Danio rerio: one gene and its partners. The protein of the gene in region 2 binds, or shares a complex with, the protein of the main gene of each other region. Links are inferred from orthologs where the notes say so. Each region holds a gene or a part of one and is shown on either strand. Other genes may lie near its edges.

Evidence for each region.
Region 1: taf4a (region 2) and taf8 share a complex: the UniProt entries of both Homo sapiens proteins name them as parts of the TFIID basal transcription factor complex. The link is inferred for Danio rerio from reciprocal best matches to the Homo sapiens genes TAF4 and TAF8.
Region 3: taf4a (region 2) and taf7 share a complex: the UniProt entries of both Homo sapiens proteins name them as parts of the TFIID basal transcription factor complex. The link is inferred for Danio rerio from reciprocal best matches to the Homo sapiens genes TAF4 and TAF7.

The regions. Positions count from the first base shown.
Region 1 is NC_133198.1:35,334,580-35,339,954, reverse strand, and holds the start of taf8 (transcription initiation factor TFIID subunit 8), read right to left. Parts: upstream 3,737-5,375; 5' UTR 3,667-3,736; coding exon 3,619-3,666; intron 1,776-3,618; coding exon 1,616-1,775; intron 982-1,615; coding exon 883-981; intron 751-882; coding exon 688-750; intron 604-687; coding exon 479-603; exon of another isoform or gene 1-478. UniProt on the Homo sapiens protein: The TFIID basal transcription factor complex plays a major role in the initiation of RNA polymerase II (Pol II)-dependent transcription.
Region 2 is NC_133186.1:23,050,685-23,054,754, forward strand, and holds part of taf4a (transcription initiation factor TFIID subunit 4), read right to left. Parts: intron 1,472-4,070; coding exon 1,415-1,471; intron 1,317-1,414; coding exon 1,197-1,316; intron 1-1,196. UniProt on the Homo sapiens protein: The TFIID basal transcription factor complex plays a major role in the initiation of RNA polymerase II (Pol II)-dependent transcription.
Region 3 is NC_133189.1:45,449,149-45,454,800, reverse strand, and holds the start of taf7 (transcription initiation factor TFIID subunit 7), read right to left. Parts: upstream 3,737-5,652; 5' UTR 3,631-3,736; exon of another isoform or gene 3,458-3,630; intron 3,291-3,457; 5' UTR 3,276-3,290; coding exon 3,257-3,275; intron 2,983-3,256; coding exon 2,906-2,982; intron 1-2,905. UniProt on the Homo sapiens protein: The TFIID basal transcription factor complex plays a major role in the initiation of RNA polymerase II (Pol II)-dependent transcription.

The DNA of each region.
Region 1 (5,375 bases), on a different chromosome or scaffold from region 2:
ATGTATTATTTATTGCTGCTGATTGTCTTTTTATTGATATAATATTTTATTATTATAGAAAAGTGATCTTTATAAAATGTTTTGCAATGATATAGACTCTCTCGTCCTACTAGAAGTTATTCTAACAGTAGTGAAAGAGCAGTTTTATATATCAGTAGATGCATATGAAGAGTTCAGATGCAAAAACCTCTAAATGGCATCAAAAGTTTTCTTCTAAAATTAGCATTTTTAACAAGCTTCGGTGAGTAGGTTTACTAATATCACTTTTATGGCAAAGAATAAGTCATTTTCATGGTCTTTAAAGTGAAATAACGCAACATAAACAAAGGAGGCTTCGAAAAAAGTTCAGATGGCACTTAAGGGGTTTTTCATTTGAACTCTTCATATATTCTGTAGAGCTATAACTATAATGTTATCAATTGTTGAGCTAAACAATACACAACAACCGAATCAGGTGAGTGACACAAGCAAGACTCACTGGTGTTCTGATGTATGTATGAGGATCTGGGAAATCAGGGAAGTGGCTGGGGATGTGTGCCGGGTGAGTGCGTTTCTGTCCAGCCGTCAGAGATTTTGGTACCACCGGAGCGTTTGTTATCGGAGCTGTGAAATGCATAAGTGTTACCAATTAAAACAGGAACAGTTACAGCAGAAAAATATAAATATTTAGATATAATAGAGACCTACGTGCTGTTATAACCATTCTTTGAGATCTTTTGGCGTACACTGGAAGAGTATCCACATTAAAACCTGCGATTGTGGAAAAGTAAATCCAGGATTAGCCTAAATCTCATTAGCATGACTAAACCATGTATATATATATATATATATTAAAAAAGAAGTTGAATCTTTAATTTGTCCTAACATTGAAAGTAAACCAACCCATTTCGACGAGAGTAATGACCACATCAGACAGAGTAGGGGTGCTTCTGGCTGTGTGCTCACAGTTTGCCTTTGCGCAACGTCCAACTTCTGTTATATCTATCAAAAGACAACAAGACTCTTAAAAATCAAAAAGTACCCAATTCACCTACAGCACATGTCGTTGGACTGTGGGGGGAAACCGGAGCAAACATGAGCTCTACTTATTAAAATATATTTAAGAATAAATGGTCATACTAGACACACAAAAACATGTATTTATCCATTTATGACCTATTAATAAACTATAACTTAGCAGACAAATAAGTAAACTAGTAATCTAAATAAATAGTGAACAAGTAAAAAGATTTAAAATGACAATAATTAAAATTTTTGGGAGCTACACTTTTCTAAATACTGTATGCCTGACAAAAAAAAAAAACTTTTTTAGTGTATACAATATTAGTCTTATTGACATTTCAGTGATAATTTATTTGCTCAGATTAATATATTTTTAAATAGACACATTCTAATGTACAGAAAAGTGTAAAGTAATTGTATTGTTTTGTGAGCTTTTATTCAACTATAGCTCAATTTTGGTTCCCAAACTGTGGTTAAATTAGAACATAGAACCATAAATTACATACAAATACACACAAACGTAAAAAGTAAAACGCGATGATTTGTGATATTGGTATGCATAAGCTTTTAAATTTTGTCAAGATGAGCTGCTTAAAGTAAATGAAGGACTCACAGCTCTGCATCATCTCAGTGAGTGTCTCCACAACAGCTTTCTCAGCGCTATCAAAGCCACACTCGGTCAGCAGAGCACTGACCACCACTTGCAGCGTGCGTCTCCGAGCCAGCTGATAGTTCTCTGTGGGACTGGTGCAGGTCTTACTGCTCCCCGAGCGCTGGAAATAATAAAATAAAAGATGATAAGAAGGTTTTACAGATCAGGAAGTTTTAAAACATATCTGCATTTAATACAGCAAGGCATTTCTTTGAAAATGCAATAAAAGAGATTAAGTTAGGGCTAAATGAACTGCATTTATTTGAAATGTTTTACAATTAGTATGGTTCCTATACTGTAAGCTTCTGAGTTTTTAAAAGGTTTCAAAGTTTATTCTAAGATTAGTGTTGAAGAAAGAGGAATTGTATTTAGTGGTAATGACTAGGCCCACACGAAATCTGCGCGCGCAGATTTTCCGCAGAATTTCTGCAGATTTTTAGCCCATCATTAATTCTGTTTATTTACTTGAGTAAATGTGTAAATCTAAATTTATTCAGTTTTTATTCAGTAATTTATTACTTTTTGTTTCATATATTAAGGTTTTAGTTTTGATACTCCGCTGGATACTCCCAAAATAATTCTGCAGAAATCCGCAGATTTTTACCAAAAATCTCAGCAGAAATAGCAAAAAACATCTGCAGATTCCGTCTGGCCCTAGTTATGACTCATGAATATAAAACTTTGAAAAAATAATGGAAAAGTTAGTCATGTAATTAAGTTTTTATGAAAATCAAAACGTTTTGAGGTAGATTTACTTTACTGGAAATTACTATAACTCACATTGTGGAATCGTATGTGATTTTAAGTTAATTTCTGCTTAGTTAAGTTGGTTTTATATGGCACATTCATAAAGTGACAACTTGTGAGTCGCTATATTGTTTTCCATGCTACTTTGATTATTAAGTGTAAGGGATCAACCTATATTAAAACATTGGTCAGGGATTTATTAGGTCATTTAAAGGAACCAAATCTTGAAGATCTGAATTACTTGATTCAACTCAATTGAGTCAAACTGAATCAGATTAAAAGCTTTACCTACTAAATCTACCATTTGTCCAGCAAATAGAAGACATCGTATTTTACCAATCCTGTTTAAATTAATTCCATGGCCAACGATAACATAACAGTATTGGGTAAAATTTTAGCTAGGTAATGACTTCAAAACAACATTATCACTGCTGCTAATAGGATTTCCCTATTTAGAATTTGCAAACAACATGTTTCTGAACTTATATTATTAAGGACAAAGTCTGAATGTGTGAATATAAAGCCACCTTTACCTCAATCTTTGTTAATGTTTTTTTATTTTTTATGGATGGATCCTTAACAAAAAGTTAGGGATTTTGTAAGGCTGTGCTTATAATTACTGAGGCAAAAATGCATCTATTGCATTCATTTTTGCATCTGAGAATCTGGTTAAGATTACTATTCCACTGTGGATTGCATTAAGAGTGTGGTATTAAATTATGGTATGTAAAACTGCCCATTCCTGTCAATAATCTAGTTTACTGTTAATATATTATGCTAACCCAATTCTCCATGCACAATAACTTGTCATTATGAGTGACATTAGCATTGTTTCATAGAAAACTCCTGCTGGGAGAAAATTGAGTTTGTACAGTTGCAGTACAGTAAAGTTTGTGATTTTCGGCTTTAACAAGACGTTTACCAGTTATATAAAACACTGTTTGACGACACTGATCTGCAACAGCTCACTATATAATTGATATATATATATATATATATATATATATATATATATATATATATATATATATATATATATATATATATATATATACAGACGTGTTTACATACGATACGGTGTCTGCTTTAAAATATATTACACAAGTGCCTTTAAGTCTAATTTTGATCAAAAAACTAAAGTTAGTATTGTTTGGCTGAGCCAGCAGGGTGAAGGAAAGAGTAACGTTAGCGTTAATGAAAGGAGATATTTAACGTACGCTTCCGGAGTTTAAAGATCCGCTCCCCATCATTACCGAGTCTGCCATTTTAGAACTCTAGTGGTTTTTCCTCTGATGTTTAGCATTCGCAAATAAACTCATTGTGCGTTCTGCGTTTGCTAAAAACTGTATTTGGTGTTTTTATATTGGGCGAAAATGGCAACCCTATCAACATTTCCAACAGGGCGACCGGAAGGTTGTTGTTTTCTGTGCAATTCCAAAATAAAAGTCAAACAAAGAAATAACTGTTGCATAGCCATTTCCTAAAAATGAAAGCAAAAGTAGAAATTTGCATTTTTTGAAGTCATCGTCAATACGGTATTGTAGCATGCTCATAAAACTTTTATTAAGTTATTCTAAAGACTTCTAAATATGTTATCTTTATTTTTATTTTAATGATTTGAATAAAAGAACCATCACACACGAACTAGCTGTTAATGTTAATAGTTAAATGTCGAACATCTTACAGAAATGTCAAGTCTTTTAGATAACAAAATGTTCACATCCTTGCTTTCTACATGATTCTTTAGTAAAACGGTAAACTGACACAGAAGATTTAATTTTTAAGTTCTGACCTGAAAACGAGGTACAAAAGCTAGGTAAATCAGTTTTAATCCTAGTTTTATTATAATATTTGAATCGTGGGAGTAGACACAAACACCTCAGACCTTAATGCTACCAAATTATTATATTATTTTATGTATTTTTCATATAATTTGACATGTTAATGGGTGTCTGTGTGTTTTTATGTTCTGCGGAGCAGGAATCTGCTGAAAAACAGCATTCATGCTGAGTCAGGCCCAATTATCTTTTAATCTTTTCATGTTAAAAAATTATAAATAAATAAAAATTTTCCATGGAGAGCACAGATGATGGTTGCTTAGCAAAGGCTGATACCACAAATGCTTTGAAATGAGTGGACAAAGCGAGACAGACCAACAAGGCTTTAAAACGGATGAGGATAATAAACTTTCATCATGATGATGAACTAAAATGTCACATAAGTGCAGTAGACATGATAAAACCAAAACAATGTCTTGTCTTGAGAATATCTGAGAAAGACTGTAAAGGACCCACTTTCTTCTGGAAATAGCTCATTTGCATTTAAAGAGATGCACATTTTTTGGGTCATTTTTTTTTTTGCAGCATGACATAAAAAAATAAATGATCTGTAGCTTAATTTGAGCTGTAGCTGCACATTCTGTGGACACAGAAATGCATTACGCCTATTTATTATGAAGCAAAATTGGTCTCCTTTATTGTGTCTTAGTATATCCGGTAGATCTGCATTCTGCATATGGGGCAGAAGGTTTAGCTTAATGTGTTAAAGGTCAGATTTGCCAATCAAAATGTATCATTGTGAAGCAATCTCAAATGACAATATTTCTGTAGTAAATTTATATTTATTGATTTAAATAAATAAATATTGTGTCATTCTATTTTCTAAAGATTGGAAATCATAACAGTAATTCAAATAATTCATTTTATTGCAGCGATTGCTTTAGATGTAGGAAATAAAAAGAAGTGTAAATATAGTTGTGTGTGTATTGTGAAAAATGCTTTGCAACTATTTATCTAGGGGTATATTAATATTCTATAATCTAGATTTTGAAAAATAAATATATAACAATAATAACTAATTCTGCGGTGTTAACAGCAGCTGATTTTATGTTGTTGTCTGTAAAAACAGCTTTATCTGTACTTCTCTATGATAATATGACTTAACATATTACATTTAAAGTTTATTTAAACAGAAA
Region 2 (4,070 bases):
GCAGATTTGTCGGCTGCACATCCATGATGCAAATTTCCCATTCCACCACATCTTTATGGTGCTTTATTGGATTGAGTGCTGGTGACTGTGAAGGCCATTTAAGTACAGTGAACTCATGCTCATGTTCAAGGAACCAGTCTGAGATGATTTGCGATTTGACATAATGATGCGTTATCCTGTTGGAAGTAGCCATCAGAAGATGGGTACACTGTGATCATAAAGGGATGAACATGGTCAGCTACAATACTCTCAGGTAGACTTTGACAAAATGCTCAATTGGTGCTAATGGGCCAAGAAAATATCTCCCACACCACCACCAGCAGCCTGAAACATTGATTTAAGGCAGGATGGATCCATGCTTTCATGCTGTTGATGCCATATTCTGCTCTACCATCCAAATGTGACAGCAGAAATCAAGACTCATCAAACCAGGCAACGTTTTTCCAATCTTCTATTGTCCAATTTTAGTGAGCTTGTGCAAAATGTAGCCTCAGTTTCCTGTTCTTGGCTGACAGGAGTGGCACCCGGTGTGGTCTTCTGGTGCTGTAGCCCATCTGCCTCAAAGTTTGACGTGTTGTGCATTCAGAGATGCTCCTCTACATACCTCGGTTGTAACAAGTGGTTATTTGAGTTACTGTTGCCTTTCTATCTGCTCCAACAAGTCTGGTCATTCTCTTCTGAACTCAACGAGGCATATGTGCCCACAGAACTGCTGCTTTCTGGATATATTTGTCTTTTTCTGACTATTCTCTGTAATCCCTAGAGATGGTTGTCCATCAAAATCCCAGTAGATCAGCAGTTTCTGAAATACTCAGACCAGCCTGTCTGGCACCAACAACCATGCCATGTTCAAAGTCATTAAATCACCTTTCAGCAACTGCAGCACATCGTCTTGACCATGTTGACATGCCTGAATGCATTGAGTTGCTGCCATGTAATTGGCAGATTAGAAATTAGCGTTAATGAGCAGCTGGACAGGTGTACCTAATAAAGTGGCCGATGAGTGTATATGTACAACTATGTCAAAAATAAATCATCTGAAAATGTCTATGCATTACCATGCTTTTACTCCATCCTATCTGCCTGTTTGTGAAAATCTGAGACCCCTGAAGCTCAACCTGACATCTCATACCTGCCCAACAGGTGCTAAATGATTTAAAGGGGCCACAGAAGGGCAGCAGACCGCCATTCAGTACCTCTGTGTCGATCCCGAGCGAAGGAGAATCTGGTTTTCTTTTCTTTCTGGGTCCGATGGCCGCCAACGCCGTCAAGTTGGCGTCTCTCTGTCGAATCTGAGCCAGTTCTTGTTGCTGCATCTGTAGCCACACACACAAAAACACTCGCATCAGCTCTGACCCATAATCAAACACAATGGTCCTCTGACTAGATAAACTTGTGAAGTGTGTCATTTCACCTCTTTGGCCTTCTGTTTGAGCCGCAGCTGCTCGGGGTCCTCTTGTCGCGAGCGTGACTGCGAAATATAAATAGCAATTAGAGACGATCAACAGTCCAAACACACTCAGACATCTGCTGGGATCAGATGAAAATGTAAAAATTGAGGCTGTCAATTGATTTAAATATTTAATCATGATTAATCTCAGCCTTTTTGCCGTGGGTAATGCTGTAATGCGTGCAGTTCCTGCTTAAGGAGAGAGACAAAAGAATGAGTAATTATGCTGTACTGCAATTTCGGAAATGAAAGATAAGTGCATATTTAGACATCGGACAATTTATGCAAGTGCTCTTTACGCGCTTAACCAAAAACGCACACACACAAACAAACAAGCGTCACCTGAATAATGCTCTTTTCACACTTGCAAATGGATTTTATAACAAAGTCTCCTTTGCTCACCAGGCTGCATTTATTTGACCAAAAATATGTAAAATTAGAATCATCTTTCACTTTTTTATATTTGTAACTGTGATAAATTAATAATTTAAGTATAATTATTAATATATTAAATAATTTATTCAATTACAATTATATGTCATTTATTCCTTTCTTAAGAGTCACATAAAAGGCTTTTTACAGTTTTTTTCAGATCAGAATTGAAATTTTCAAAAGAGTAAGTTACTTTCTCTAAACAATGCTTACAAATAGCAAAACACTCTCAAACTAAATTTCTGGGTCAATGAATGTGTCAGTGCCAGAATATTTCAGAAAATTTCAAATGGAAATGTGTACGGATAAGACAGTCACATTACTTATAAGTCATGTTTTCAATATTACTGATATATCCATAATTATATTTTATTAGTGATTTGTTATTTATTTTGCTGTTTGTACTGTGATTTGTTTACATCATGTCTCTGTGATACAGAAAGGAAAAGACAGCACTGCATAGCACAAAGAAAAAACTAAACTAAAGTAGAAATGTGAACATGGGAATCTCCTTTGAGATGCACCTTCATCAGAAGACAAGACTCACATGAGAGAAATTTACCAATTGTAGACAGATTTAGGAAAAATAAAAAGTCTAATGTAAATGTACAGAAAATGCAGCAAAATATTATGACAACTTGTTCAGCCATTCTGCATGCTAAGACCTATGCCATGAACAAGATATTAAATGTTGTGGGGGTGAGACTATTCAACAGAGACCAAAATAATGTCATGCTGACCAAAATATATTAGCAATTGATAATGTAGGAAAGAGCAGAGAACTGCACATAATCATTTGCATGGATGTACAAAAGCATTGTGCAAAAGTGACACAATGATGTGAAGATTGAACAGGAAGTTTAGAGAATTTCAATTCTGATCTGAGAAATGGACCACAGTGACTGAGATAAACTGTAAAACGCTGATTCTTAAAAACATTTATGGCTACAGTTGGTCCCACTTTATATTAAGTGGCTTTAATTTATTATGTACTTACACAGAAATTAATCATTTGTTACAATTTTTGTTTTATGATTTGCATTTTCAATGAACCTCATGATAATCTACATGTTTTGTGGAGAGTAGCAGTTTGGTACTGGCCAAGGCCATAGCCTGATACAATGTAGCACTCTTAGTCAGGAGTTAGAAATCCACAGCAAGATCTTTTCTGTTCCACTAGTTATGTATCTTTTTTGAAATTTGGCACAAATTGAGTGTACGTGCACTGAAAGGTATAAAACTGTCTGTTGAGAAAACTGGTCTTACTCTGTGTGTGTTTTGTGTGTGTGCGTGTGCGTAACAGGTGTCATCCTCCAGGATTATTTTTAATAAAGTACTCTTTTGCTTATCTCTAACCCTTGTCTGACTGAAGTCATTTAGCAGATTTCCACATGTTTTATTTATGATTGACTAAATACTTGCATGTAACTACATCTTTATTTACATTATTGACCATCCCTTACACCTTAAGGGCACCTATTTTACCCCATTTTCTAGATTTAAGATGCCTCTTTTGTGTCTCCACGTACACTCTTGAAGCGTCGTCTTTTAAATTTGTACTGACATGCAGCTGTGGTGAGAGGCCGTAAAATTACTGTAAATCATAACAAACATGCTCTGTTTCAAAAACATTTTAAACTTGTAAAACCTTTTCTTGATCACATTTGATGACTGATGATCACAGCTAGCTGAACAGATCTTTTAATCGCAGTTGCTTTGCGCACGCCCTGTCTTGTTGATATGATTATATTAGAATTAGAAAACTTTATTGCCCACACCTGTGGAATTTATTTTTTGGCCTCCCAGACATCACAAACACAAAACTTCCTACACCACAGATTACCAACACACAACCCTAGACATACAATCTACTTCATGGTCATTTATTCAGTATGGTAATAGCAGACGGTATAAAAGATTTCTAAAAACTATTTGTTTTTGCGGTACTCTGTATCGTCTACCAGAAGGAAGCTTTTCAAATTCATAATAAAGAGGACGTGAGGCTTTCTGTCTGGTCTGGTTTGTATACAGTTCCACAAGCTACTTCTCGGGGTCAATTATGATCTTACTAGCCATATTAACAATCTTTGCAAGTTTATACTTGCTTCTAAGATTTCCGTACCAGCAAGAAATATTATAGGAGATAAAACTTTCAACCAGACTGGTATGAACTTTCCTCAGAATACTC
Region 3 (5,652 bases), on a different chromosome or scaffold from region 2:
CAAGTTTTATTTGTAGAGAAAATTAAAAAGCACTGTAGTGTTTGGGTGTTCTGTGTTTGTCTGAGGTAATTAGTCTACCAAAATGTGTATATTCCATACAAAGTATAAAGCTGATCACTCAGTTCTTGTAACATGACTCGCAGTGCGGCATTCTGAAAAGTTTTTTCAACTTGGTGCGCCTGGAATAAGTGAGCGTGTCGCTCTTAACATGCACACTCAAAACGCACGTCTCCATTGGAAATAACGGACTTGTGCATGCGAAAGGTGTGATAAGTGAACAGCCCATTTCACGGCAGCCTCACAAAGAGGTCAATAGTCTTTACATGGCTAATAAAAAATCCTTGGACATGTAGAATAGTACATGCAACTACTTCTTACATGTGTTTAAGCAGAACATCAGAGTCTTTCTCGAGTTTGACGGTACGCACACACACACACACACACACATACACATACACATAAACAAACACACACACATTATTTATTTGTTTGATTTGCATTAGTCTGTTCAAGAGACACCTTTCTACACCTTTACTATGTGATTTTTTTGCCTTATGTCTGTTTTAGAGATTTGTTACAGGTCTATGATAACGATGGAATAATTTTCCTTTGGAAATATATTTCAGATTCACACTATAAAACGTCTATGTGTGTCAAAATCGTGATTAAAATAGAAATCGCAATATTGTTCAAAAAAATTATGATAGGTTTATTTTGCCAAGAACGCACAGCCCTACTCTTAACATCCTACACGTTTAAAAAAAACATTTATCTGGGTTTGTTGGCAGCCAATGTACACAATATGATATACATTCACTATTTAACTATCCTTATTATACTGATGTCTGTTACACTGTGGTGTCACATAATAATATTTGAACATTATGATCATGTCATGCTATCGGTCTACACAATTTACTTATGTCAACTAATTAAAGCAACGGGCACCAGCAGAATTTGGTTTCTCCATGCAAGCACATGGTTTAGCCTTGAGTAACCAACAAACTGTCACTATAAGTCTGTAATAATATGTAATAATATATTAGTTGTAATAATATGCTGTCCTTACAGCTATGTAAGTGGCTCATAAACGCATACTGTTGTTATGAATCTCATAGCAAACAACTAGGCATGGGATGATAACCGTTTTTAGGGTATACCACGCTTTGCAAAAGTCAAGGTTTTAAAACAGAAAACATTTTCTGCCATAAGTTGTTTAAAATCACGTGGCTCTGGTGATGCGCGAAATTGAGATAAAGGGCAAGAAAAAAAAACTGAACGGGAGAGAGGAAAATCTGTTTTTTTTTGTTTTTTTTTTTATCGTAGCAGATATAAATAGAAAATAAGCACATGTTGGGCATGATCCTTATGATGAAGAGTTTTCTACTGAACTCAAATATATTTGCCTGTCATCGAGGCGGTAGATACTGTATAAGCTGTTATGTTACATGAAAAATACTATAGTAAATTCTATAATGTTTGGAAGCATACTATAGATAATTACTTGAATTAAATAGTAATTATATTGTTGCTATGGTACAGCGCAACTGTAGTAATAAGCAAATTATTCAACAGGCTTCAGTTTTCTTCACTTTAATTATACACCATCACGATGCACCAGTTTACACTAACGTTACACTATTTATTGCAGTTTATCAGTTTACTTCACTACAGTATTCTGTAGCATTCATTAACAAAGAGTTGTACACATTATATTTTTTACTATGTGTTTAAAAACATGTTTATTATAAATTACTATAGTTCCCCCCTGTGATATCTTCCAGACAACACGAAATAACATGAAAGCATACAAAAGCATGGATGCACAGTCTACATTATTATTATATTATTATTATTATCTTTGTAAGGGGGAAAAGTGCTCTACAATAATAACAGTCCAGATTTGTAGCAAGGGTTGCATTTATTTTATTTTTTTGTTCGGTCGATGAACTTGCCATCAACAAACTTTCACCGCTGCTGCACATCTCTATGTTAACATTACAGCTGTTTATTCCACCTAAACACCAGTAAAGACGGAGATTTTATTGCAGTGATTACATGGCAGGGAATGTTATTTATAATCTCCTGGACTTTGTATAATTTTGGTGTTGTTTGTACATGATTTTTATATAAAACACTAACATATTTATACACATAGCTAGGCCTGTATAGCATCTTTATTAGTGCTGTCAAGCAAATTATCGCGTTCAATTAGTTTGTACACATAGATGTCTTGAACAAATGTTTATGTTACCTTTTCTTCTGTTTTTCAGCCAGTTTGGAGTTCTATAAAAGCGGTTCTGCATTTCTTATTTTGGCTGATTTTAAGAATCATAAACAACATAAAACAGAAACATTTGATGTTCTGATACCGATTCTTGTGTAGAAGAATCACTTTCTGCCCTCCATCTGAGTCTTGCGCGTGATCAATGACGTCATGTGAAAACAACCTATTCCATTCCTATGGTATATGTAAGATTTTTTTTGTTCGTTTTTTAGGACAACAGTATCTCCAACAGAAAAGATATCCAAAGATGCTGTTTTAAATTGTAAAGAGATCTGTGTTACTTCATGTTCTTAAAACTAATTAAGACAGCAGAATTTAATTACTTAGCCTGACATGTTTACTGTTCCAAAAATATTTTAAATGCTTAAAATAGATCATGTTCAAAGGTAAAAATGTTTTTATTACCAGACATTAAAAAATATATATATATATATTTTAAAGCAGTAATCACCATACGGTCAAACCGTGATATTTTTATCCAAGATTATACCATCAGAAACTATTACTGGCTCATGCCTACAAACAACACTATAAAGAACACAAGTATTCAAACACTTTTAATTAAAGTATGTACATTTGTCCAGTGACTTTTTTTCCTAATATAGGACACAAACTGACCTGAGGAAGCCGCAAAATAAACTGACTCTCCAGTTCATGAGGAGCATCTTCTTTGCTTTTAGTGCCGACCTTTCCCACTGTAAGAGAGACAACTTAAAATGTTACATACTGGTTGATATTTATTCATAAAATAAACTGATAAAGTCCAATAATTTGTATTAAATGTTAATAAATACACTTAGGAATATAACGTTAGCATACGTACTAAATGATTAGCATGACCATGTACCACGGTACTTGCATGTAGTTGTAATTACATGGTACTTATTACCGTTTTACGAGTTCAAACGATGGTAATACCACAGTAATACCCCAATGTCAATAGAAAAGGGAGTGCGTGCATATTTGTACCTTTTGTTTTTGAGGTCATCTTTGGCTCTTAGTTCTGCAAAGAAATAGAATATAATACAATACATGTATACAGCCGCATATAAATGGCTACAGGCGTTTAAATACATTATAAAAGTATTATTTAAGAAAAACGTGTTTATCTACGAGTGATAAAATACTAATAATGTAGCACAATTCAAAGCTGTTAATAAACATACTCACCAAAATCCTGTGAGAATCTTACAGGCTAATGCTACATATGCGAAGCTAACATTAGCCTTATTATATATAACACGAATATCGTTGACGTAATTGTTTAATAAATATTCGCTTCTTGAAACAATATAGAGCGCAGTAGTAATAATAGTAATGCTAACATTAATTCCAGTACTTACAGTAAATAATATGATTGTTATCAGAGAACAGCTAAATTGAGCACATAAACATAGCTGTGCCTCTATGAAGTGTCTCGCGGAAGCTCGGCGTATTTTAGCGCTGCACTGCCACCTGCTGTCCGTTTTGCATAGATATGTCCGTTTTGTAGAAGCAGCTAACTTTTATAAAACCACGCCAATACTCTAACAAATGCTAAAGTCTGCTTACACAACCCCCAGAAAATATGACGCTTATGTAATTGCTTTACTAAACGCTTGATAAATATGAAATCAACACAAGGGACCAGGATTTCTGCTGATGTATCAATAGTCAAAAAAACATGTAGTAAAGTATCGTCCCATATGGTCTAGCGGTTAGGATTCCTGGTTTTCACCCAGGCGGCCCGGGTTCGACTCCCGGTATGGGAAGTAAGGTTTTTAGATTAAAACGTTTTAACCGAGACAACCTTCTCAGAAAAGATTTTATATATATATATATATACATATATATATATATATACACACACACACACACACACACACACACACACACAGTTATATGATTACATGAAAATGTTTACAAAGACATTGGGTTGAGAATATCCAACGTAATGTACTGTAGAGGTAAAGCTTTTATGATTACAACAGTTTTGTCTCTTCTATAATATCCAGCTGTGTTCTATATGACCTTTTATTCATCACTCTGACCATGCTTTGAGAGAACTTTAAAATGGTCTATTTGTAATTTATATTAACCCTGTCATTCTTTTTGTTTCTCTTTTTGATTTGCTTTGTTCTGTTGTTTATTTTGTGTTGTAACTTGTTATAGGGTTTATACATTTTCTGTATCTGTACTCTTAACAATAACAAAAGAAAAAAATGTTTGCAATAATTTTTTAGTTTAGGTACAGATATTAGATTGTTAATACTGTGGATGGAAGAATGAAGATTGCATGCTTTGTAGCATGTTGCTGACATGATTAGCATGCTAAAGATAACCTATTTAACCTATTAAAGATATGCATAATATAGATAAATAGATGCGCTGCATAAATCATATGCTGGATAAGTTTGTGGTTCATTCCTCTGTGGTGTCCACTGATTAATAAAGGGACTAAGCCGAAAATAAAATGAATGAATAAATGTTGCAACTAGGTAGCCTAACTTTTTGATCTGTGCCCTTTGCTAAAACAGTGGAAGAAGAAATGTGCATGGGGATTAATGATTCATGTGTGAACAATACTTGAAATAAAATAAATAAATATTTATTTTTGAAAGATGACACATTCGATGTAAGCACATGATATTTAAGAGAGTAAATGACAGCAGTTCAGTGCTGGGCTTGGGTCAAACACACATGCCATCAACAAATAGGTTATCATCTAATATAATGTTATGAAGTATACGGTATATGTATGTAAATATGTCATTTGCCACACTTGTTAAGTTCTTGAAAAGTTTGTAAATGCATCTGGAAAGTGCTTGAAAAGTGCTTTAAAGAGTTTTATTATTAACAATATTTTTCTTTAATTCTGAGAAGATATGGTTTATAGTTATAGCTAAACAAAGTAAGTTTAACAGTAAATTACTATTATAGTTAGTAAATATTTTTTGTAAGAAACAGTAGGGTATGAAAAGTGTTTCTTTTGGAAATTTAGAAAATAAAATGGGGGAACACTAGCTAGCATTTCCAGAGAGGTGTAACCAAACCTTTTCAAAGTCTGAGGACAATATATCAAAGAATGTATAAATAATTCCCCAGACCACAAACAACAGTATTACCAATGAATTCCCCAAACAGGCTTTCCGATAATGGGAGGGGCAGACAGAGGCATTAAGGGCTCATCTGAATTTTATGACACCACAAACTGTACACGCAAAACTATAAAGGGACTGTCTACATTTATTTGATGTTATGACAACGCTCACTCACCTGCAAGGACACCATCGTTAACCAAAACCATAAGCTCGTCTCATAACAAACGGGTTGATGTTACAGTCATTGTAACCCAGTTTTCTTAATATCACCACTGATATATGTGG